Linked DNA regions of Neodiprion lecontei. The protein of the gene in region 4 purifies or fractionates together with the protein of the main gene of each other region. This does not show direct contact. Links are inferred from orthologs where the notes say so. Each region holds a gene or a part of one and is shown on either strand. Other genes may lie near its edges. The genes, in order: tetratricopeptide repeat protein 27, co-chaperone protein daf-41, protein ecdysoneless and protein AAR2 homolog.

The links.
Region 1: the proteins of protein AAR2 homolog (region 4) and tetratricopeptide repeat protein 27 purify together in Homo sapiens (affinity purification with mass spectrometry; 3 studies listed by BioGRID and IntAct, with this or other methods). This does not show direct contact. The link is inferred for Neodiprion lecontei from reciprocal best matches to the Homo sapiens genes AAR2 and TTC27.
Region 2: the proteins of protein AAR2 homolog (region 4) and co-chaperone protein daf-41 purify together in Homo sapiens (affinity purification with mass spectrometry; 3 studies listed by BioGRID and IntAct, with this or other methods). This does not show direct contact. The link is inferred for Neodiprion lecontei from reciprocal best matches to the Homo sapiens genes AAR2 and PTGES3.
Region 3: the proteins of protein AAR2 homolog (region 4) and protein ecdysoneless purify together in Homo sapiens (affinity purification with mass spectrometry; 3 studies listed by BioGRID and IntAct, counting the BioPlex papers as one, with this or other methods). This does not show direct contact. The link is inferred for Neodiprion lecontei from reciprocal best matches to the Homo sapiens genes AAR2 and ECD.

What each region holds. Positions count from the first base shown.
Region 1 is NC_060265.1:20,125,568-20,131,499, forward strand, and holds tetratricopeptide repeat protein 27, read right to left. Parts: upstream 3,965-5,932; 5' UTR 3,813-3,964; coding exon 3,740-3,812; intron 3,632-3,739; coding exon 2,773-3,631; intron 2,554-2,772; coding exon 2,487-2,553; intron 2,396-2,486; coding exon 2,063-2,395; intron 1,923-2,062; coding exon 1,749-1,922; intron 1,615-1,748; coding exon 1,462-1,614; intron 1,387-1,461; coding exon 1,225-1,386; intron 1,135-1,224; coding exon 541-1,134; 3' UTR 534-540; downstream 1-533. Other genes in the region: uncharacterized protein LOC107223251, read left to right, coding at 39-143; DNA helicase MCM9-like, read right to left, coding at 5,217-5,269, 5,414-5,580, 5,872-5,932.
Region 2 is NC_060263.1:36,975,607-36,981,487, reverse strand, and holds co-chaperone protein daf-41, read right to left. Parts: upstream 4,060-5,881; 5' UTR 3,979-4,059; coding exon 3,851-3,978; intron 3,122-3,850; coding exon 2,731-3,121; intron 854-2,730; coding exon 725-853; 3' UTR 511-724; downstream 1-510. UniProt on the Homo sapiens protein: Cytosolic prostaglandin synthase that catalyzes the oxidoreduction of prostaglandin endoperoxide H2 (PGH2) to prostaglandin E2 (PGE2).
Region 3 is NC_060261.1:11,728,881-11,736,658, reverse strand, and holds protein ecdysoneless, read right to left. Parts: upstream 6,012-7,778; 5' UTR 5,626-6,011; coding exon 5,376-5,625; intron 4,648-5,375; coding exon 4,154-4,647; intron 3,007-4,153; coding exon 2,535-3,006; intron 2,320-2,534; coding exon 2,130-2,319; intron 1,328-2,129; coding exon 877-1,327; 3' UTR 77-876; downstream 1-76. Other genes in the region: uncharacterized protein LOC107217828, read left to right, coding at 6,615-6,718, 6,923-7,085, 7,238-7,433. UniProt on the Homo sapiens protein: Regulator of p53/TP53 stability and function. Inhibits MDM2-mediated degradation of p53/TP53 possibly by cooperating in part with TXNIP. May be involved transcriptional regulation. In vitro has intrinsic transactivation activity enhanced by EP300.
Region 4 is NC_060260.1:3,707,302-3,713,802, reverse strand, and holds protein AAR2 homolog, read left to right. Parts: upstream 1-1,892; 5' UTR 1,893-2,104; intron 2,105-2,181; 5' UTR 2,182-2,233; coding exon 2,234-2,424; intron 2,425-2,518; coding exon 2,519-2,634; intron 2,635-2,707; coding exon 2,708-2,861; intron 2,862-2,922; coding exon 2,923-3,198; intron 3,199-3,279; coding exon 3,280-3,688; 3' UTR 3,689-5,405; downstream 5,406-6,501. Other genes in the region: matrix-remodeling-associated protein 5, read right to left, coding at 5,406-6,233. UniProt on the Homo sapiens protein: Component of the U5 snRNP complex that is required for spliceosome assembly and for pre-mRNA splicing.

The DNA.
Region 1 (5,932 bases), on a different chromosome or scaffold from region 4:
ATACGTAACATTACGCGTCAACGTTATCGTCGTTTCAGGTTGGCATCCTGTCGTACGGATCGGATTGCGAAATTAATTCAAATTCACCGTCTGCGTATGTAAGCGTTGCAAAATACGCCGACTGGATTCTCACCAATTCTTAAATATATATATATATACATTAAGACTAAAAAAAGGCAAATTTGAGCCTTTCTTATTTCCTCAATAGAATTTTTTTTACAATCTCACAAAATAGTAAGAAGTAAACGTCATTAATAAAATACTGTAAAATTATATCAAACTGATTTTGTCCGACATCCCATTTAGTTCTAGTCAGCAGCTTTGAATTTCTGGTGTCAAAGTATACCTGACACGGCAGCTACTTGGTAGTGTAGAGGAATTTCAATTATCACAAGTGGCTTATGTGAGAGTATCATGGAATCATTTTCGTAAAGTGTATCCTGCACGTTGTCCAGTAAGCGATTAAGCTTAATTCAAGTTTCAGTATTTGATAACAGTCAAGTAAATGAATAGACACCGGAAATAAAAGTAGATTATTTTCTAAAGAACTATATTCTGCGAAACGTAATTGGAATCAACATTTATTTTTCTCAACTCATCCAAGATTTTGGTCAAGTATGCTTCGATATTTGCCAATGATTCGTCGATGTCCTTTTGGCCAATCCAATCCTGATCCTTAACTTTCCTCACGACGCCTTGTAGGGACAATTTCGCGCTACCCAGCATCGCTCTTCTTTGTAGCGGTGATCCAGATTCTGCACACTTCAAGTATGACTCTGCCAAATCGGCGCATAAATTAAGCACGTCTTTCGTCGCTTCTACCTCCTTGAACCATTTCGGATTGGCAACAGCGGTACGATGCGCTCTCTGCAAGTATTGAGCCGCTTTCTGATAATCCATTTCCGTATTCTTTGTTGCCGTCAGCTCGGCGTACATCTGCCAAATCGAAGCATTATTCGGCACTGCCGCAGTCAAATGTCCAAATAGTTCCAAGGCTTTCTGGAGTAGTCTACTAGCAGGATTACCATCGGCATCTGTTATATCCGTGATAATTGCCTTGGTAAGAATTTTCAAAATTTGTACGTCAGTGTGATGAGCTTTCAGCTCGAGAATACGGTGGTAACACCGAATCACCTACAAAAGGAGAATCAAATTTTTCGTACGATTTGACTGAATTTTTTTTATCATTACTGTTCTCGCCCGAAAAGCCTCGATTCTTCTTACCTCCGAGAAATGACCCAAGTCAATACTAACTACCATTAGATTGTCCCACACTTCCCACCTATCGAAGTTGCATTTGACCGCATCTTGAAGGGATCGCCAAGCTCGGGGTTTGTCTCCGAGCTTGATATACGCTTTCGCCAAGTTGTTCCACGCCTCGAAATTCTAGTAAGTAAAAAGAAGGATTGAATAAACAAGTTTCACCAATATTGCATTCATTTTGCCGATAGATGTACTGACCATTTGCTCTAGAGCACAATAATGACGGTATGCATTAGCTGCCAATTTCCAATCTTCAATTTGCAATGCAGCAAATCCAAGCCTAATCCATATATTCTCTTGAATATTATTCAATTCCACAGACAATTTCAAATGCGGTACTGCCTCTGTGTACTGTAAGAATTGTAAATTCATTGTTACACTGAATGTTTGAATTTGTCTTCAAGATTGATTAAAATCAATTGCATTAGATACGATCTTTGATACATGAGATAAAAATTTGATTAGCGCTATCTCAGTAAACTTACATTTTGTTTTGAATAATAATGCAGGCCCCAGTGCCTTTGGGCACGGCTGCTCTTTTCACCAGATAATTTCCATGCAGTTTCATAACATTTTGTATCCTGCGTTGAATCACCTAAGAGACACCAAAGTTTTACTGTTGGCTTCTTATCGATTTCTTGTTGAATTATTTCTGCAGCCTGAAAGAGTTAGATGAAATGATATCACAATACCATAGGTAGTCATGAGTAGATGTTGATAGTTCTGAGCAAATGTCGCGTGGTGCTTGATCTCAATCAGTTGGAGATTAAAAAAATTGATTTTACAGAAATTTGCGCACCTTGTGTCTCAATTCTAATATAGTGTAGCACACAATTACGCTTTCCCAGAGTCGGAGATGCAAGTACAGCTCAAGAGCGCTCTTGACCATGCCTAGATTAAGCATCAGATCAGCCAAGGTTTGTCTAACTTCCCAGACAGGTTTCATACCACTGGCGAAAAATATATCCATACGATGGGAGACTAATGGCTTTGAAGAATTCAATTGCTCAATCAGATACTCTGTCTGTGACATAGATCTTTCAACGGTTCTTTTGTGATTCGATTCCAATATACAACGCTGACACAAAGATGACATTCTTAATGGCCAGTTACTCGAATTCTCTATAACATTCTGATACAAATGTCACATAATTAAATTATCTGTAAAATAAATTGCAATCAAGACTGGATTCCTAAATCAATTCATAAACATCAATTCTCACAATTAGGTATGGTACAACCTCTTCGTCAGCAAGTTTGTCTTTCGGTTGGGATTTTTGAATCTGAAAACTGCAAAAAATGAAAATTAAATGATATTAATTTCCTGGTATAATTTATTACTGATGTATGTACGAAAATTTTCAATTCAACGAATAGTAGTGTACGATTAATTAATGGAATTAAACTTATGGAGTTAAATATTTGCATAGATGTCGACGCATTTTCCCACAACAATTCTATAACCAACTTCTGGTAATGAGGTGAAATTTAAATATTTACCATACATACTATTTTGCTAAAACAACTGCTTCTTCCAAGGCACCCAGTTCAATAATTTCTGCAGGTTCAGAATATTCTACTCGTTCCAATCGCAAGTCATCTTTTAGTTCAAGAGCAGTGGGCAAATCTTGACACTTTCTGTACGGGAAATTGTCTTTGTCCATGGAAACTTTCAACATTAACTGAGCTTTCTCATCTTGTTGGTACTTGGTGCGTTTACCGAGCATGCCGACTAACTGCATGTTTAGTTTTGCCGAATGCTGAGCAATTTCCACGTGTTTTTCCATGTTCTGTATCCTTCTATGATACAAATAAAACTGCACAGCCTCGACATGGAACAACGTCCTGAGGTACTCATCACTCAAAATATCATCAGCAGAAATTTTTTCTACTAAATCCTCAGTTTCTTTGAATAAAGTTGCAGAAGCTTCTTCGAGAACAATTTGATGCAGTAAATTGGCTCTGAATAACCACCAAGCAGCAGTTCTGTGATGATTTTGTAATGTTTCATTAGAAAGCAATATTTTCGATAGATACAACAGCTCAGGCTTCTTCACATTTTCATTGCATTCATCTTCAAGGTGCAAAAACTCCAATGCCTCCTCACGTTTGCCCAATAACCAATCAATGTCCGGCGTATTTTCTGGGCCAGTGAAGTTAGTTTGGACAAAAAACAACAGCGAAGCTATCCCAACAGATAATAACTGAAACGTGCAGTTAGGATCATCGTTCACAGCGTCATGTAGGGTTTTTACGAGATTATTGTTATTGACAAACTTCTTGAGATAAGATGAACAGAATTTATTATTCAAGATTTGTTCATAATGTCCCATGTGGAATTCCTCAATACTGGGTAATGCCTGCGGGGCTGAAATATATTCAATTTGAGTGTAAGAAATTTGTGTTTGCTTTTTCGGGAACATGTGATATTTTCTTGCGCACAAATTTACATACGCAGAACAGAAGTTAACCTTACCTGAGTCATCCAAAAAATTCGTGATGAGTTTTACCTCAGAATTTTTCAGGTCTTCAGTATGCATTTTCTCCATATTTACGTTCGAATTTAGAAAACACGCTTGTCACAAGTCATCAAGGAGTACGCATATGTTTTTCTGCTACTAAATACCCGTGCAACAAATATTACCGGACAAGTGGCAACAAATCGATACGGTAGTGTTGTCGTTAGCCACGAATTATACGATACGCAATAGAGTGTAGTACGCTATACGGAAAATCTAACCATGTTTCCAAGGTCGCGGAGTCGCAAGTCCACGCACAAATGGCGTGGTGAATTCTCGAAAGGATTGACGATCATTTGGTTGACAAATTATTAGAGATTATTAGTTAGTTCGGCTTGTTTCATAGAATCAGCCAATGGTATAATGATTTTAGTTAACATTTACAAACATACGGGAAATCAAAAAACACCTGTAGTTGAACATCTCGAGTGTCATACCTGTATAACCTTTGCAATGGTACGACAAGTACGTATGATTCTAAAATATCGCTAATATCATGGAAATTACATTTAATAATACAGCAGAATCATAGAAGGAATTAATTACTTCGCGAGCTTACCCATTACCCACATCTGCTGGAAGGTAAACCATTTCCGATTTGCTCCACGCTGTCGCTTATGGTTTCGAAATCACAACACTCGATACGATAGTAATTATTTCTACTCAACCTTGAAGTATCCCGGAATTGTTTTATTCAAACTATTTGCAAGTTCTTATCTGTATTCATTGATGATAATATTTTATTGTTGCGCAGAAAATAGCTAGGCATAAGTATACAGCTGACGAGGAAAGTTATATTAGTGAAGTTCCTGGATATTGATTTCAAATTTAATAACGCATGAAGTGTTTGGTACGCTTTGTATCGCTTCATGAAGCAATAATTAGGTCCAGTTACAACTGCTGAGTTTCCGGTTGAAAAAAGAATCAAAGAACTCAAAAATTTCAAGCACATCACGGGATCAAACGTACACAGGCGGCACTCGGAAGTTGTCAGGCATTTATTTAAAGTTATTATTGATGGCGTTCGAGATACATACGTTGTTTCGCAGGCCCGAAAGAAAAGACATATTACATGTGCACGACGATAGTAGAAACTACAGATTCTTGATAATGATAAATATGTGAATTAATTATCAATCATTCTAGCATGAAATAGTAGATCAAAACAGGATCTCGAGGATAATTACATTATTACAAATAAATGATCTAAAACTAACATAAAATAAAGTTAGAAATATGACATTACTAAATTATAGCAAAAATATATTCCTCTAGTACTTTTAATGTAAAAAAAAAAAAACACAACAAGAATTAGGAATACAGCTTTGTGGATTTCTTTAACTCGCATTTGTACTGTAATTAACATTATTAATTAACAGTTCTTTTATTATTTATCAAATGCATGTTCATCTAATTAACCGTTGAAAATATTCATCACAGTTGAACACTCAGATGTCCCAAGTTGAGCTTGTCGAGGATATCAATCCCTAAAAATACAAATCACCTGTAGCACAGCGTATAACAGGTAAGTGTACGGTGTCTACGTGAACAAAATCTGAACAAGGTTGTACACCGTTAACCAAAATACGAAGTTAATTCCTTGACCTAGTGAACTTTGTCTATCTCGTTACCTTCTTTGCGATAATCGGCCATTGGATCTGCAGGAAAACGATGACCAGTAACAGTTGAGCTATAAGTAGAATTCATAGGACCGGTTCCCACCAATTGCGCAGCTACCAAAGCATCCATTAATTCTACTTGCGTACGGTACATCAGACGAGCATGACCCTCGGCTAACCTATTGTACATTAGAATTACTTGATAGTCCAATCATTACGGTGATGATGATGATGATGATAATGATAATAATAATTATTATTATAATGATAATTATTCCCGCTATAGCCTTTCCGATATGTCTCCATAAGTGAGTAGCTTGTGCAAGGTGACGGAGGGCTGGCTTAGTGACCATCATTATGCATAGTAGATCTCTATTATTTGTCAATATTTCAGGATGTAATGGCAAAACCTATGTGTGTGTTGTAATTATTAACAGTTAAAATTCTAACAAAAAGCTTAGATTAGTTACCTAACAAGGCTTTCTAAGAGTCGTACAGTTGTCCTTTCTGCTCTTCTTTCTGGATTCAACC
Region 2 (5,881 bases), on a different chromosome or scaffold from region 4:
TACATTGAATTTTAGGCAGTGGTCGTTGGTACAGCAATTTATCTTCTATTGTACGCAATGTTGTTGGAAGTTTTTAATATCGATGAAATGGTTACGTAAGTACTTCATAACCTGCTTTGGTGTAAACTATTTTTTACATATACAAGAAAACAACTTCCTTGTTATTCACTTATGTGAATAATCAAATAAATCGTTCATGTACCAGTTTTCTTTTTCTTAACGTAGTGTGAGCAGGCATTTCACACATGTGGAGATCTAGCCTCGACAGTTTTTATCAAATAAACAGACTGTTTTTTTTTCCATTTATTGGTTTTCTTTATATCCTTCTTAATATTTTACACATTTAATTCATTCATTGTTAAAAAAAAAGCTTTTGCATTATAACTTAGTTTACGAGCTAAAGACTAAGGGATGGGTAGTGGTGGGGGAGGTCGAAAACTGTACGGCTGCTCGTCGTTTACCAGCAACATTATTTTTTTTTTATAAGATGTTATTATATATTTTTTCTTCTTTTCAAGTTTTCGGTCTTTCGCGCACCGCGCTTAGCTAAAAGTTAGGTATTACGTTGTTGGCCATTGATTCTAAAATTGCAAAAAGCATTCGCAATGGAATTTTTTTTTTTTTCCTAAACAAGACGGCCATGCGAAAGTTTCCGCCTGTAAAGAACACCTGTTTTAGCTCACAATTCTTTCCGAGAGGGTAAGTTGATTTTTTTCAAACAATTTCATTCCAAATCTGGCATATCATCGTCATCACTGTCTGGACCATCGGCGTCATCTCCCATGTCATCTAAATCGTCAAAACTTGGCTTGCGGTCTCCAGAACCACCCAAACCTCCCATTTGGCGCATCATCTGTAAAATGAAGAAGCAAAAAAAAATATGAACTTTCTGTATTAGAGCGCTCAATGAGAAACTTTGCAAAACTTCAACTCTGGCAAAAATAATTTTTAACTTTTAGAGGGCTGGCATTTTGTCCTTGAAATTCAATATTATTTAGAGGTATGATTTATGTATATAAATAGTCAACACATCAGGTGGAGGTTCCGAGTTATCTGCTGACTCCTAAAAGAGCCGGGTAGGCCTTTTAAAGGTAAAAAATATGAAATAAGTTTTAAGGTGTAACTTTACAGTGGGTACTTTGCCAATAAGATTTAATAACGAAATACTATAACTGTATCCAAACGCGAATGAAAAGATGTTTTTGTAACACCTGCATGGGAAGTTTGACTTTGTGCACTGTGGCGGATGTGCGAAGTACCCCATTCCTCACAGTTCAGAAACTGTTGGGAAATATCACACAACTGTTAGGAACTCGTATTTTTCTAACAGTTTTCTGAGCTAAACTAGTACAACTAGTGCCATTTGACGCAATCGACTCGTGACTACAGTTTCGTCGGCTGTGTTGCAGTAACACATCTACATTAACATTAGACCACGTTTACGATTGTCTCAAGTCGAACTTCCCATTACAGGTGTTGCAAAAATTATCATGTGTCATAAATACGGGTTTCATTGCTGCACTCGCCTTCGGCTCGAGCAACAAACTTCACGCTCGTCAGGTATCGCCAACTTCACGCACTCGTATCGCAATATACTATTACATTATTTTTTATGGTAAGTTCGACGGATTATATTATGCTTTTTGTCATTCGGCAATGCAGTATGCTCAACATTAAGCGTATGTAAATGAAACAAAAAAGATATATTGAACTCTTATTGAGTTAAAAATCCTGAAGCTTGAAACATTTCTTTGTTACATACAATAGCGTTAAGTTCACGTGAAATCTCAAAATACATTTAATTAAATTGTTTAAACGAGATACCGATTATTTTAAGAATATGAAGCTATAAATCAAAGTTTCTTCTATTTAAATAGCTACCGACAATTGTAGATAAAGAATATCACATATATACTCGTTTTTTTAACACAGGCATGAAAAAGTCACTTTTTGACGCCTGTTTTCGATCTGTAAAGTGTCACTTTGTACCGCTAACCTCAGAATAGAATACAAAGACTTTATACGGCAGTTTCGATCCCCAGTTCTAAGTGTGCATCTCAGAACTGGCATATAGACTTTATACAGCAGTTCCGACTTCTGTTGCACGATCCGAGGTGTAGATTTCAACAGACGGCAAAGGGACTTATCATGTTTTGCCAGCAAAAAACATTGTGCGGGGTGCACCCGTAAAGTACTTTTGGCTCGTATAATGATTTCATTACTCGCTTTTGGCTAGCTTTTACCTTGTAATGAAATTTACTCGTTCATTATCCTTGCCGTAAAAACACCAACTTTACGGGCATGCCACATAAAGTACTATTTACTTCTGAGAGAATCTTAGTTTAAAGCTGCTTTCTTGGATGAAATTTGTTGTTTGACGCCTGACTGGTCATCACAATGCCAAAGATTATACTCCGCCATCAATATCATTCACAAAGAGAATCGACAAACTTATACTCTATGCTCAGTTAATGCACACTTATAAATTTGAAAAACATTCTATTTTATTTTGTTGTATCATGGGATAATTTAGAAAGAGATTTATGGAATCTAGTGGGTTGTGAAATTTTTAAAATACAGTTGAAACGACATATTTGAAGGATGGAAAAATACACAATTGTTTTCCACAAACCACCCTCGTGTACAGTTTATCAATTTTCATGTGAAAAGACTAAACATTACGACTCTTTTCATGAAAATGAATTAATTAAGCAGATCAATCAATGTTACCTCTTCCAAGTCACGGTTTCCGCCACCACCACCGCCGAAGGATGCTTCATCTTCGCTATCGTCTTCATCTTGCCATTTGTTGAAGTCACTTTTCAGCCAGTGATACTTTTGTTTGTCTTTCGTCAGGTGCGGCCAGTATGGTCCAAGAGTCTTTTTTGTAAGGACCAATTCGAAATTCCTGCCCTTTGGAGTTTGGATTGTCTTTTCTGGGTCGATTTCTTTGTACAAATTGATTGTTACCTCGTGCGCCTTACGTTCAGTGCCGCCAATACCATAGAAATATATTTTATCGGGCTCAACTTTGATTGTGGGATCTTTACAGTCCTCCAGACATATAGTAACGTACACTACGTTACTTCTTTGCGCCCACATCACCGGCGGAGGTGTCACCCTGAGAATAAACAAGGACAGCAAGAATTCGTAAATATCAAGTAAAACGTAAAAAAAAATTCTTGGTTATGAACATGACGTTTCGAGCCGCGATATGAATGAGCTAGATATTCGAATTACGAAAAAATGTGACTGGTTTATTGAACTCGTGGTATTCAAAACGTGGTCATGGGGAAGGAAAATAATGGCAAGTCATAATACGCCGGAAGTGCGAATGGCGATTGATGTATCGACAAAGGGCAGTATTTTTTTTTATGGCGCCGTAAATTATCCAGGGTAGACACTGAGAGCGAGCAATCGAATAACGAGGGGCTGCTGATAAGAAGCCAGATTTATCAGTAGAGAAAACATTTTCGTACTCTCGTGTTACACGATTACGAGCATGAGCCGCATCAAGCCGCTTGGGAATTCGAAGCGTCTCGAGAGGTCGAGAGGGTGTTTTATTCGGTTGGCATGACGTCGATTACAGGAATAGATAATAGTTTATTCGATAATTTAATAAGGGAGCCCTCCCGAGGTAAATATTGTCGGTTAGAACTAGTTTTCTAGAAATTTCGAGAATCAATAAAACCATTTCACAACATGGCGGCGTTTCGAAAGCCTGCAGGGCGGCAGGCGTATTTTTACAATCAATTTAGCACGAATAATGTACCGGACGGTGAGCCAGGTTTCGACACAAAATCCAACTCTACATTTTGAACTAGGCTTAAGTCAATTATTAGCTACTTACTGTCCCTCTTGAGTCATTTTGTAGCTGCTTTTTCCAGCGAAAAGAAACAAACGTGCAAGACTTACGTACCGCGCCGCACAACTAACTCGAGAAATGTTTTCGATATTCAATCTTCGAGGTGTATTCATATCGACAGGACAATAGAGCGTCGGCCATTATTATTGGGCAAATCTCGAAACTTAAAACGTATAATAATGCCTGTCACACCGCAGAACAAAGAATCCCGTTGATGGAATAACTCTAAAAGTATCCCTCGCTTCGCAATTGTTAGCGGCGAGCAAAAAGTGGACAGGTTAAAAATATATTTTTATCGCCGTACGATCATCAATGTATTCGTGGTTCGATGTCTCGATACGAGAGAAGATCGATTTTCATCCGAATCGAAATCGATTTCGAGATAATCGAAGGATACGCTCAGCCCGGGGAATTCAAAGTGGAAAAATGATGCAACGCATATTGAACGTGGTCGTAATAGTATCTTGATGCGAAAACCGGCATTTCGATAAAGATGGATGTTGACTGCTATTGCGGTTTATAGGTAAGCACAGGTTACCACATTGGATATTATTTAATAGATTATGCTAAATAGTTCTCATCGTCATATACTCACAGAATCGTTATGTAAAGAAAATCGGATGAATCGTTTCATCGTGACTGAGTCAGAAAGACATCAATTATAATATAACTGAATCATTTTCGAATTACCCAGCGTTTGTAATGATACATATTGTCAGTTTCAATAATAGATGACTACCTGCATCAATATACGAGTATGATCTCTCGGCGATCTCGGTTTACCTAAGAGTAAACGAAAGCAATTGCGTGCCATACATATTTGCATCGATGCGGTAAAATTTCAAATTCACAGCACAATAATGTTTGCATCTTTTCAACTAACTTTTAGTCAAAAGTGTAATATCACACAATCCCAACAATTCTAAAAACAATTAATCTACCGATTCTTTAGTAACGCTTGCCATACGCCATGCTCTATTCTTCCGTCAAAGTTTTTACAATAACAATTTTTAAGCAGCAAAGTTGAACGTACGACTAAAATAAAATGAAAAGAAGGAGAAAGAGAGAGAGAAAAAAAAAGTGATCAACTTTCTCGATCTATTGCACAGGTAGTGAGTAGAAGATTTACGCGCGTGGAGTATAGCTGCAACATAAATAAATTAATATCAAAAATCGAGGACACAAATATATGAAATTCTGAAATTTGCGCTTCCGCGATAAGTATAAATATTCGCGAAACGCATATATTTCGAAAAATCTATCCCTCTTACAGCGTTTCCGTTTGAGTGATAATTATCATTTGGATGATAGTTTTTTATCAACGTTTTGTGTCGAAACGATCGTAGAAGCCGAATCCACCCGTTCGTATCGAGGAATCCGTATTGACCAAACTCTCCAATCTTCCTTAAGATCGGTAAGAGATGAGAAGGTGGTAGGGAGGAACAGCACTTAGATTGTAGGTCACTTGCAATGGATATGGAGGGGCTGTACCCTTCTGGTAGCGACGATCTAACTGGACATACACAGTAGGTTTTCCAGTCTCTTTCTCCTTCGAGTTGAATCCAGGTGACGAATAGACCGCCGAGTGTCCACTACTATATACTTGAGATACATAATAAATTAGTTAAATAATTATAGTTGCGACACGGCGAGCGTCTGCTTTGATGCCTTGCCACATACGTACATCCATGGCATGGACAGACACTGTGCGCTCATCATTATCTCCGATCAGCGAAGTACTTTTTCGTTTTGCTTTTTCTTTATAAATATAAAACTCGGTTCGGTTCAATGTGTACAATCCGTCAGTGGCCAGTGGACTGCAGTGTGTTAAACTATGTAGTCAGTATCGTATTGCATGTATGTTAAATAAAGCAATCATGACGACCGTATCAAATCTGAGTATTGACTTGCTGTTTGTTTGAGGTAGCCCAGATCAGTGCTTGTTTGTTTAATTAAAATTAACACCATGTCTACAAGTTCGCTCTTCTACAAGGACAAATATGCGGTGAGTATATT
Region 3 (7,778 bases), on a different chromosome or scaffold from region 4:
GTTAATATCGATGGCGAAAACAGGCGCGAAAGTTAAAACATTTCTAACTATAATTGTAAAAAGAAAAATGATCGCGAAAATTTTTAATTATCATTATTGTTAATTAAGAATGTGTACAAAATATGAGAATTTAATATAAAGTAAATTATGGAAAGTTAAATATTTAAATACTCTAATTAACAGCGAGAAATTTCGTAGAAAATACAGATTTATTATCGACCTTACAATTAGTAATGTGTATTTACTTATTATAGATAAGTTGCTGACAGATGTTTGCACAGAAATTTAAATTACTTTCGGCTTGACGATATCGATAGTTCAATATTTTCCATAGACTTTAAAAAACATCGGTAGTCGAAACATCATGAATGTATGTCGCCCATTCCTATCGTATGTTGTCCGACATATCGCAAGGTGTTGTATACAAGTATTTATTTGTACATACGCATACGAATAGACGTGAGTGTTTGTAGTCCAAGCTTAATAATCCAACTTACGTTGGATCTTGTCGCGAAAGCAGGCGCATCCTTATGAGCTATGCAATTGGCGTATCGCCAAAACAACGAATTCAGTAAGTAAGTATAGGCGATTGCCGTTTATTAGACGAAGAAGGAATTCTCGCTCTCAAATGTTTACGATAATATTAATTTACAATTGCGTTTAATAGACGAAATATTTGGAAAGTTATAACAGAACTTTACTGCTAGTGTTGATAATACAAAAGATATAAAACGAGAATAAAAAAATAAAAATAGTGCAAGTCAATAGTTGCCAATTCACAATACATTGGCTAATACGATTGCTTTTCGTCCAAATATATTGGAGATAAGCTGACTACTGACGTCGTACTTAAAATTAATGATAATTGTGAAAAATTTAACTTTGTAAGTCAGGTGGAACAGTCGAGGGTGATTGCAGGTGTAAATGCAAGAGACGTCGAATGGGTCCGCCAAGAATATTTCCAACAGCTCCTGCACCTCCTGCTTCACCTTCTGCGCTTTCTTTTAAATTTAGCTCCATAGTCGAATCTTCAACGCAAGTGTCTGTATTAGATTTTTCTCGTAATCCGCTAAGGTGCAAATCCATTTCTAGTTGAGAGTCGAGCAGTCTCATGTACTTGTCCAATTCACCACCTTTATCCTCCTCGCTTCCACCCAACGAACCTTCCGAGTTGCTGTCGAAATCATTTTCATCTCCTGGCACAACAAGATCCAAGATTCCACGTAAAGCGGAATCAAATGCATCTGCATTGAAGTCTATCCTCGTATCATCGGCATCACCATTTGCTCTGATTTCGCTGTTATCGTCATTTGACTTGGACAGTTGGCTGAATCATAAATCATCACTATTGGCTATGCAACTCAGACCAGATCGAAGTCAAATTAAAGATGAATTGGTTAGACCGTCAGAATCAAAAGTTGGGATAGAGAATAAAACTGTTTTGCAAAATTTCCAGAGATGTTGCTCAAATCAATGATAGTAATCACGAATGAAACAACATCCCCACTGTATAATACAAAAGATTCCGAGCAAATTCAAATAGTTAAAGCTAAGATGTCAAGAATTTAAAAAGTTTTACACTTAGAAACGTTCCAAGAGCTTAAACTCTGATGTTTTTGATCAGATTCTAATGTTTTTCGGCTTAGTTCACTAACTAAATTATCACAAATTGTATGAGAAACATGCAAGAAATTTGTAATCAACCTATAGCTATAATGCACAAATGTAATTGCTGATGAAGGTCTGTTATACTTTAATGACAGTAGTCAGTAATATATTTTTATCCACTCTGCAGATAATGGTAAGTAGAAATTTTTAGGTGATCTATGGAAGTCTCTATGGTGAACAAAATGAGCCCATTAGCATTAGAATCGGATAAAGAACAAGAAAGTTCAATCATTTCAATCTTTCTAGTTATGAAAGCTTTTACTCCAATTATTGATAACTTATTATATAATAGATAATAGAATTGCTGTTCCACTCGTGTTCTTTATTTATTATTCATGCAAATAATATATTCATGGAGATTTCTTGAACGATTCTTTCTCTTTTCATAATTCTTTAATTTGACGGTCTGGCTAATTTACTCTCAAAACAGTCTTTTCATTCCAAAATTATGAACAACGTACCCCGGGAACTGAACTCCATCTACGTCGCTTGAATGTTGCAAAAATTCCCGAACTTTCTCTTGGATTGATGGCGGGTGCTGATCTACCATTCGATCATTTGATGACCACTGCTGGTCCAGCATTGAGTGCAGTTGTTCTGGATCTATGTTGAGCCAGTTATCATTGTCTGGAGGGCTCAATCGCCCTTCACCTATTACAAAAACTAAATACAGCATGTGCACACAGCACGTCTTCCACTTAAAATATGCTTTTGATGATAACAATTTCATATTTTGAAGTAGTGTTGATTTTGAAACAATAAACTTGAATTTTTCTTTAAATATATATACAAATGGTACGCTTAAAAGAAGTACACAAGATGTGTTTAGAAATCAGAGTTAATTTCTAAGATCGTAGACGTCTTACTCAATGACTCGATATCATGGTGCGGAGCATTACGCCAGGTCTCCAATATTCGATGAGCCTCGTTCTTGTCACCAAATAAAGAATGATCCCTGGAACTGGATTGAAAATACTCCTTGGCCATTCTAAGCAGTCGATTGTATTCTTGACTACCCTCTAAAAGATTTCGGAAATATCCGTTTGCTGTCAACCGTTTCAGATATGCAACCCATTCGGTTTCATTTTTATTTTCATTGTCTTCATTCTGTTTGATTTTGCGACTGGCTCGTGCAACAAGCATTTCCAATCCACACGATATCTTTATCCCCAACAAATGCGGCTTATGACAAGAATCATTGGGTGAAGGTAAATTCCAACCAGTTCTTGGATCCCCAGCGTAACGACAGTGAGTTGCCATCGCGTATAGGCATCTAGTCATTTTCACATTGACCATGGCACGTTGTTCTGGTGGAAAGTACTTCATCGCTTGGCAAACCTGGAAGAAATAACCAGATATCTGTTATTAGGTTGTTTAGAAATCCGCAGCTCGAATAGTTCAAGTGTTATAAGCCTTGAAAGTGAACTTTGTATAAAAATCCATCTTTAAACTTCTTCAGTTGCTTGTATATAGACTTCACTACGTTACAAAAATTTAAATAACAAGATTTAGAGGAATTTATTTTCTAGAAATGCTTACAGAATCAAGTCCACATTATAAAATATGGCTGTTTAACCATGGTGGGCACTAAAAATAGTAAAAAAAAATTCCCAGTCTTCTCCCTAACTTTTCTTGACCAAAATGTAATTTGTTTATAACTAAAATTCAGACTAATAGCGCCAATTCGGCTACCTAATATATAGAGTTCCAAATCAATCGGTTTTCAAAAACACATTTATGATCTATATAAGTCATGGAACCGAGCACGTAAAAAAAAATTGTTTCCCGAATTTCTTTTCTTCATCAAAAAAGCTCTATTCTTTTTTATTTTAGTACACTGCCGTAAAATTCCTCGAATGATAATAAAATTTCCTGCAGTATACATGTAAGAGTATAAGAGTATGGACAAGAAATTGGGGGACAGATGGGAAACATGGATGGAAAACATATGGCAGAGGGTGCCAAGAGGAAAATAGAAGAAATGCTAAAAGGGGAGTTACTACTAGAAGCCTATGAATTTAGTATTTTATTTGAAAAGTGGGATTAAAAGATGAAATACACAGATTATACAAGTCAAAAATAAAGATACGGGTATATAAATATATTTGTAGGAATACTGAGGTATTGCAAAGTTAAATAAATAAATGTTGGATGTAAGTTCAAAAACATAAAAATGTATGAATAAACGAAATTAATGAATATAAATAAAATTAATAATAAATCTCCCTGACTTTTCTCTAATTTCCCAGGTTATTTTTAGAATTTTTTAGATTTTTCTCGACTTCCCAGTTTTTTTCACTAGTGGACAACATGGCAACGATTGAAAAAAAAATCGCAGAGTAATTGAAATGGAAATAAATGGAAATGGAGAATAAATTATACAGATAAAAATCGGATTCAAGATAATCTGTTCTGAAACTCAAAAAAATTAAAGACAAATCTACAAATTGGCCCCTGATATTTCAGTGAAAATTGGTACACTTACTTTTCTCTCAAGTGGATCCGATTGACAAACAGTCCTCAGTGCAGCTGCGATCAAACCAGGTTCCTGTTTTAGTATGGCGATAGCTCTTTCTGGTAAAAAGACCCGAGCTTTGTGGATTCTGTTTTGTATTTCCTCTGGGTATATGGCAATTTTCTTTTGAATAGCAGCTTGTATACCATACTGCATTCTGGAAGCTGTAGGTTTCTCTCTGATGTTTCGCAGCATTTCTATATAAGACAGGTTTTCATCTCTAACAACATGTATTTCGCCATTATATATGAAAACACGATCCTGACAAGTTTGTGGTGTCGCCCAACTTGGCAAAGACTCTGCAGCTTCAATTAGCAAAAATTCTCCATCAGAGTCAACCAATTTTACGATTAAGCCATCGAATGCCTTCGTCAGTTCCATTACCAGAAACACAAGAAACCACTCGTCACCAACATCCTCGTCAAATCGCAGACTAGCATATATGTGTGGTGGTAGCTGATAATCTACAAAAGAGGAACTGGAACTAATAGTGCTATAAATTGAAGGGTATACAGGGTGTCCCTAAATTGCCTCCCACGGACTAGATAGCATGATACCTCGTTAAAATCCAACCGAGAATTTTTTTTCCGGAAGCTCGTCCGACGCGTAGTTTTTGAATTATAAGCGATAGCGCTAGGCCAATCAGAGTGCACCATTTCATCTAGATTTGCCGCCACGGATATTGCTGTTTTGTTCGACTGGGTGAATTATTATTATTCGTTTACGAATTAAATATCGGCACCTCCCCTCTCTCCCTGTTGTACCCCTTCTCGAGCGCTGACCTCGGTATTGTTGCCGCGGCATACGCTGCCGGCCGCACATCCATGGGCGCACACTTGTGTGTGTAAACAGAAGCGCATCCTCAAGCATAAGGGGTACAGCAGCGAAAGAGGGGAGGTGCCGATATTTAATTCGTAAACAAATAATAATAATTCACCCAGACGAACAAAACAGCAATTTCCGTGGCGGCAAATCTAGATGAAATGGTGCACTCTGATTGGCCTAGCGCTATCGCTTATAATTCAAAAACTATGCGTCGGACGATCTTCCGGAAAAGAAATTCTCGGTTGGATTTTAACGAGGTATTATGCTGGCTAGTCCGTGGGAGGCAATTTAGGGACACCCTGTATAATTCATGCAATGAAATTGGTGACACACATTTTCATACCTACAAAACATTATCTTACTTTACCTTCCACTCGAGCTCCACCATCAAGTTCTTTGTTGAGCTGGATAATATTCTTTGTTCTGGCTTGAAAGCCTAACGAGTCTCTATGCCATATGTATTCATGAGTATACTTTGAAATTCGATTATTGTATTTGTTTATTTCAGATACTAATTCATCTTGAGATATTTCCTCCGTCGATTTGTAACACAAGTGTGGAAAAAGAAAACACTCGACAAGATCATCCTCTCTAGTATACTGCAGCGGGATTGACATGATTGATCGTTTCAGTAATCAGATTATACTTATTCTTTGATTTCTCCTCAGTTAATGTCATTCAACTTTTCACAATTACATACATACTTTGATCTAACTGCGATCTATGCATATTGCAAAATGAACAACGGAGTGAATCAGCCCTGACATAACCTAACTTTTCAAATACCAAGTTGCAGACTAGAGCTTTTGAATCATTCCTCCATCGACGCTGATCTGATGCACCATGATGCACGAAAATACAGTTTGCTAAACGTATTACTATTCAAAAGCAGTACAAAGTAGAGTCCCTATAGAGACTAAATACAAACTACGAATGCAACGCCATCTAGTGATGATTTACTGCACTACTTGCATTGTATTGGCAGAGATGAGTAGGTATTGGACTACAGTCAGATTGAATGATGTTTTCTATACCAGAAGTAAAATATGATAAATAAACCTAAAACGATCAACTGATTACCAATCTCGAGACCATATTGCAATTACACCCGCCTTTGATATTCACCAAGGATGCTGGCGACGACACACGTCTTTAACGCGTGGTGCAAGTTCCAGTATTATTGTATTTCAATGGGTTTTAGAGAGACAGGAGAGACACGAGGGAAAATTTTTACTTCGGCTACAGAGCCTAGATATAAGGAGAACGATCGTAATGTATGAGACACGGCCGAAAATTTATGAATAAGGGGAATACCGTAATCGCATGATACAGATATCGACCTGGCCTTAATGTCACCAGCGCCATTCTGGTGGACATGGTAAAAACTGTAATATTTTCCCTCCTTTCAGACCGCAAATAAAGCCAAACAGCCTATGTCGATCGTTCTCTTTATATCTAGGCTACATGATTACGACCATCTTAGGATGAGTGTTTTTTGGTTCAGATTGTAACGGGCAACGCGCGTCATTGAAACGTTGTTAACGAGCAAGTGTATAATGATAAAGCTAATAATTTGTATTAAACTTATTTAGGAAGAAACGAAATAATGCCGTCGTGTATTGCGTTAAATTGTACGAATGTATCGGCAGAGGCTCGTAAATCAAAAAGACAAAAATTGTTAGAGAAGAAATACAAAGTAACTTTTCATAGGTTAGTCAAACTTATATCGCTTTTACTTTATGTTACGTTACGTATGGGATTATTTTACCTGAACCTTGATTTTAATATCATTTGGTTGTTTTTTGAGTATATGTTAGCGGGAAAAAAAAACAACAACGATACCAATGATATTATTAATGATACAGGTATCGATATTTTTGCAGATAATTTCTTTACGTCTGTGTATTTTCTTAGGTTACCAAAAGATCCAACGAAACGACAAAAGTGGCTCGATAGCCTGTGTATTCCAGAGCCCAGAGGCGCGAGTCCTATGATATGCTCAATTCATTTTCCAGAAAATGCGTTCGACAGGACGTCCCAGTCTTGTGTGAGACTCAGAGAGTTTGCAATACCATATGTAAGTATGTATCAAAGTATAGAAATTGTATTTACAAGCAACCTATCTGTATTTTCAATGAGACACAATGCGACACTATCAAATGAAGAATGAAACTGCGTTGTGTCTTATATAAATTTTTTTGGGTATTCGAAAAATTCAGCACATTACAGGGTCCCTTGGATGAGGAGTTTCACATTACATTGCACAAGTCCGATCAAAGCAGATTGCCCCAATCTCTGAAGCAGAAAACTGTATCACAGATTAATCACCAAGAGGTGGAAGATGACCCTGAGGAAGTAAAATATTTGGATGAGGAAAATTTTAGTGACGACGATGAAAAATTTGATGAGTTATCCAATTCTGAGGGTAAATTAACAGACATAGAATTATTGCTTTCAAATGTTGACATAGTTTAAATTATTTTGATGATGTTTGAAGGATTTTACAAGCTTCAAGAAAGCTTTTGATTATTTTTAATTAAGTCGAACTGGAGGTGAATATCTGACCCAATTTCTAGATCAAACTCATATTTCTTATTTTGCCTAAACTCCTTATTTCGCATTACAAATCTAAAGAATATTGGTGTTCTCGTGTTTCTGTATACTGGAATAATTTTCCAAAAGAAATAAGAATTTTTAGAAAATGATTGAAATTTATTTCTCTGGTATATAGCTGAAAAAGTTTGCACGTATCTGTAAAAGAACACATCCA
Region 4 (6,501 bases):
TATTAGTAATAATAATATTATTAAAAATAATCAACAATCTATAACACACATAGTCACAGAGTAAAATGTGATTTAATTATAAATACCTATCTAAGTAACGTAGCTGAGAAAGGAGAAAAATTAGGAAAAACATAAGATTAATAAATATAGGACTGAAGGACATCACTTATATTGTAATTGTAGTGCCTAAACAGAAGATTTTGCGCGGTACGGCAAAGTAAAATTAAATGAATTACATATATATATACATATATATTTTGCGTTCGCCCGGCAGTACTTGGTTACAAATTTTCGTAAGATGAGGCCGCTTTCTATGTATAAACGCGGTATAAATGCTCAGAAACCAGAAATTGTGCAGCCAGTATGAATAATCTGGTGCCCCTCCAAAACAGCTTCGGAGCTGCCTAACGGAGGCTATTATTTTTATATTTCAATTATTACAATGGATAGAAAATGTAAGTTAGCTAGCATGGGCTGACAATGACCAGGATTCTGATCGACGGTTATTATATACGATTGTTTGTATTATATTAAATTTAACATGTAGAAGGAACGTATTATCATCGTATTATGATTTCAATAACCGTGATATATCATTGTAATATCGATACACACGTGTAAATAGTTGATACATGAATATAGGTCAATGAATAAATGAATAAATAGATATGTATAGATACACATATATATATCTATACACAACCGTATACATATATCATAAAATATTTAAATAGTTTTAATGTAAATGAATTAGGTAATATGTAAGGAAATTACGGTAACGTGACAAGATTAATAAATTGAAATTACGTAAATATAAGATGTACCAATTTTATTTTTGAAAGCGATAACTTTTGAATTTCTCCCTCACGTAATAATGCTTTTTTTAGGTATTTAGGTAAGTTGAAATAAAATATAGTCCTAGTTATTTTTACAGCACATCGAGATTTATTTTTATGAAAAAAATAAATAAAATGAATATGAGACTGAATGTTTAGGTACAAAATGTACAGAATTAGATTCAAACAAGACTTGAGAGACTAGATAAATCAAATAGACTTGTAATATCTTTTTCTACTTTCTTAAAAATTCCTGTTCAATCTGTTTCTATTGTACTGACGATTCGGTTCATCTTATCATTGAACAGGAGTTTTGAATAAAGTAGAGAAGGATATCACAAGTGTGTTCGATTTATCTAGTCTCTTTAGTCTTGTTTGAACATCATGCTGTTCATTTTATACCTAAACATTCAGTTTTATATTTATTTTTATTTATTTATCTTCTTTTTTCCATCAAAATAGTTCGAAAATGCATAAAAATAAATCTCGATGTGCTTCAAAAAAACAAGCGCTATATTTTAATTCAACATACCTAAATACCTAAAAAAAATTTAAAAGTTACATTTCGCAGGCCTGTGTTATCATTGGCAATTTAATTCCATCTTGTGTCATTCAATTAATCTTTTTCATATCATTTCAAATTTCTTACACTTGTAATTGAAACATATATAAGCGCATATTCTGAGACTCTAATAATTATATAAAACTAGGACAAATTAATGTAATTTAATAATTACCAAGACTGTAGCTTTAGAAAATTAGTAATCAATAGATATGTGTATCAGGAATTCTCGGATCATAATCAGATCGCCGGTTATGCTTAATTTGAAAAAAAGCCTTGGAAGTAATTGAAGTAATAATATTGCGTGAAATAATTATTGGTAAAATCAATAACTATTGCCGCTGCAAAGAACGTTCGCATTAAATTCTATTTTGCCGGCAGGCTGTAAAACACATTACAGGTGACGCTTGGATCGGTACGATAAATGGAAACATGAAACATGGAGTCAGAAATCTCTAAAATCCATAGACATACAAAATCAGCTGTAGATGCGCGTCCGCCAATCAAAGGCCGCAACTCCGACTGTCGGCTTGTGAATTATGTGCGTGACGGTTCACCGTGTTTGTCAAAAAGTCTTAATTTTGTGCATTACAAATAATTATAAAATGGCGACATGAGAACGACGCAAATTTGTCGATGCCTCTATTCATTTCAGAGCGTAAAATCGTACTTGACATACGTACGTCGCAGCATAAATGTAAAATCGGTGAGTAAATAGGTTATAAACTATACTTCAATCTTAACATTTGTACACGCTTATTTCATTTTTATTATGTTTTGTAGAGGATGTAAAGATTCGATGTCCAAAGTGTAACTTTGAAGGATTATTTGAAAAATGAGCAACAAGGAAAGTGTCGAAATGGATCAGGAATTGGCTAAACGCCTCTTGGTTGAAGGGGCGACTTTGGTTCTGCTCAATGTTCCTCTGGGGACGGATTTTGGAGTTGATATGAAGTCTTGGAACACCGGTGAAAAGTTCAAGGGCGTTAAAATGATTCCTCCAGGGTTTCACTATATTCATTACAGGTGAATGAAACTGTGAACAAGAATTAGCAAGGCTTTATGATAGAATCATCGATGATTGAAACAAACTCTATTCATTCCACTTGATATGTTGCAGTGCTGTCAATGAGTTTGGAGATCTTGCACCCCGTTCAGGCTTCATTCACAACTTCAAGAAGTCTGAATTCTTGGCCATGTCTTGGGACGCGGAGAAAGAGGATGTCAGCACAAAACGTACGGACTTCTTAATTCTTCCCGTATACAATTTACATCAGCATCCACATATTGACACCTTTTTCTCTTGCAGCTCCTTCGGAAGAAACGGTACGTAGCTTAAAACAGAATCTAACTAGCCTTGATCAGTTTCTTGGCCCCTATCCGTATGACATTTGGGAACAGTGGAAGGGATTGACCAACACAATTGACGATGCGGTTGTAGAAAGATGTACACCAGTTTGTGGGTATGGAAAGCTTTCGGCATTAATAACTCCTCTACATATACTAATACTGCTCATTTTTCAGGTACATCCGATCAGCTCTGGAGTTGGAGAATTGTGACGATGCTTCTAGACCACGAGGAGGAGAGGCTGTGGAGAAGCGAACTCGACGCAGCGGTTTGTCCGCCGAGGACAGAGAGCAGCAGCTGCTTCCCCAATTGAAACCAAGAGCTGGGACTGAACTGAGGCTAACTAAGCTACCGGATAAAAGCTATCCTGATGGAGCAACACCTGCCGAAATAACGCAACATTCTCTTGATTCGAGCTACGCCCTGGAAAAAATGTTGGCTGAATTGAAAAAGTCTGTGGAGTATCTGGTTTTCATTTGGAATAAGGAGCGAAAGTTGTATACGGCTATTAATTGAAAATCATGAAATTACAGCCCGATAGAAATAATGGGAGAACTTCAGCTGGCGTTCATCTGCTTCCTGGTAGGACAAAGCTTGGATGCGTTTGAGCACTGGAAGAAGTTGGTCGGTCTTTTGTGCGGGGCCGACACGGCGATACCGTTGCGGCGTTCCATTTACTCGGAGTTTCTAAACACATTGGAGGCTCAAGTGGCCTGCGTCCCGGAAGAAGTGCTGTGCGACATTGTGGCTAGCAATAATTTCGTATATCACAACTTGCGTAATTTGTTTGCCAATATTGAATCTAACGACAAAGTCGACGGACGTCTGAAAACCCAGGCGGTCCGAGTGCGCGATAGACTCACGAAAAAGTTTCTCTGGGACTTTACTTGTCTGCAAGACGAAGAAGACGATGAAGCACCTGTCGTTGTGTCACTGGACTGAAAGGGGACAAAGAGTTACGAAGATACTTTTGACTGATTGAATATTAACAATAAGAGGTGGATTGAATTCATTTGTATCGTGTATAAATAAGAAAACCGTTCATCTCGGCAACTAGAATACATTGAGATACTCACACTGTCATGAAAGATGAGAAACTTGAATATCCGATAGAGTTCGACTCTATAGGATAACGTGAAATTACGAAATGTTTTGAAAAATTGCACAAATCTAAAATCTACATGTAATTATTACATTGGAACTACGAAATTGTGCTTTTTGTTATCCATCGCACCGTGATTTCTCTCTGTACGTAAGAAGGTCTCGTTTTTCATTTTCAGAAGAATTGCTGTAATAATTGTATCTCCTAATGTAAACGTACGTTGAAATTCCTAGCTTCTCTCATGAGTTCAAAGTGAGACACGCGTTATATCGCTATCACTCGTTTATCAAATAATTACGAAAAAAAATCATAACGAGCGCGTCGATAAACATTTCCAATAATGAGTTACGGGCTGTATCTAACATGGTTCTCGTCCATCCAGTTTTCTAGTGTATTTCTTCATTTTCAAGACCACACATTATACTCGTGTGCGATGTCTGCGGTTTGGAAATCGCGAGGGCTGATCTTGAAACGCAAGTAATTTGTTGTAGCTGATATCATGGCTCAATTTGTTGGATTCGTTAATCATTCAGCGAGATTATCGGCAGGTTCGGAAGGCCCTGGAACCTCGGAGCTTCCTTTACAATCTCGCGTTCATTTCCGGGTAGGTACGTAATCGTCGTCCTCGATTACTGTGACCGTCGACTTAACGATTTCCAGCTTTACGAAATTCTGCGAAAACTATAAATCGTTGCCAATAATGCAGAGAATTAGAATTACGGTCAGCTTCTCGCGATGAAACCCCATACTGCCGAGATAGAGGAAAACACTGAACAGTGAATAATTGCGATTAATGTACACAAGATATATTTATACGCAAGAATTTTTTAGTTGCTGCAAATGCAATTGTTTACAATAACATAAATTGAATGACAAAATGTTGTAACCTCTGATTCGCTTTATCGATCTGTAAACTCCGATAAATCGGTCAGTGACTGCAGAGTCAAAGTCTAGTCTAGTGTGCCGTCAGTAATATATAATTTGCATAATCAATTTCATGCGGATTCGCGCTTATACGCATAGAGGATAGACTATTTGCACTTGTCTACTTTCGTGTAGGTTGGCATGACTCGCTACAGCTACGTATAAATTCTGGGAAAACGATCCTTAAATTACAATACAGTGTAACTGTAGGAGAATAACAACAAGGGTTAATATACTGAGGTTAATCCAGCTCAATTTCCATATATTTGCAGTTTCACTTATGTAAGACTCGACTGCCGCAACAACAAAAAAAAAAAGGGGGGGATTGGGAAAATTAAATTTTGAAATAATTGCATATAAGCACGTCAACACAGTGTGAGTATAATATTTCTTTGCAGTGAATTTTCAGAGAATGTAATCTACATTTTATTAACACTGCATCACATAATTGCAGATCTGACAACAATCGATGGTCAATCAGAATATTACCTTTGGAGTGATCACGAGATGTGAACAATGCGGAGAAATATTGTGGGCATTGGTAAGTGTGACCTAATTTCTAATTAGATACAGTATTAATAGCCGTATTAAGCGTTAAGTTATGACACATTATTCGAGCTATTCTACTTATTTTCAATCTTCATTACAATCTAAGAAAGGTGACGATTTCTTCTCCAGAAATTCGCAGAACTGTTTAATGGTGTAATTCTCTCGGTTGGGTAATAATTCGCTGGTTCTGTTTTCAATACATTTGTTAAAACTTTCTTCGTCAAGATAAGACTTGGGTAATTTGTTTGAACACATTTTAATAAGCTCGTAGGGTGCATCTTTATACTCGGGGAAGTGGTGCCCTGTCTCAATGTTCTTGCCCTTCAACCAGTCTATTATCATGTCTTGGCACATCCACGTGAGACGATTGAACTGGAAGTAGAGCTCCTTCACTTTGAAATTGGTTAACGAAGCAATTGGAAGACACGTTATCTTGTTCGAGGAAATGTCCACCACTTGCAACGGGGACGTGGAGAAGAAACTGTCTTCTATGTGCTTAATTTGATTGTTTTGGAACGAAACAACCCGCAATTTCGAAAGTCCCTCAAACCAGGCGCCCTTTATGACCTGCAATTTGCCTCCGGTGACGGCCAAAAATTCCAGCTCTGTCAGTCCCTGAAAAGCGTTGTTCTCGATTTCTTCGGTACCACAGTAGAAAAATCCCAATCGTGCCAAATTCTTACTCAAACGGTCGAAAGATCTGTCCAGCACAATTTTTATGTTAGAATTACCAAACGTCACTCTGTCCACGTCGATTGGTGCCCTTTCCACATCGGCCAAATAATTATTCGTCCTGAAGCACTGGTACCAGTACACATTCGGCTTCGCATTTCGAAGCAAACACGAACTCCTGGACAAACGGGCAAACCCTACCGTGCCGAAGATGAATGCTAACAAACCGTGGAGCTTCATACTGATCCTTGAACGAACGCAGACTGAATTATCCCGAATGGTCAGCGAAATCTTATACCGCGGATGTCGCGCTCTCCGACTCCAGCGCGTAATTCAACCAATAGAGAAGAAGAGACGATAATATGGAAGACCGCGTGCTCGAAGATTATCCTCGTGCAACTTCCCCAGAGTGTCTATTACTGGAACAACCTTCTGCGAACTAGTTGGCCTGGTTAAAGAGGCAAGTATAACTGATAGTTTGTCAAATTGGGTGGGGGTTGAAGATTAT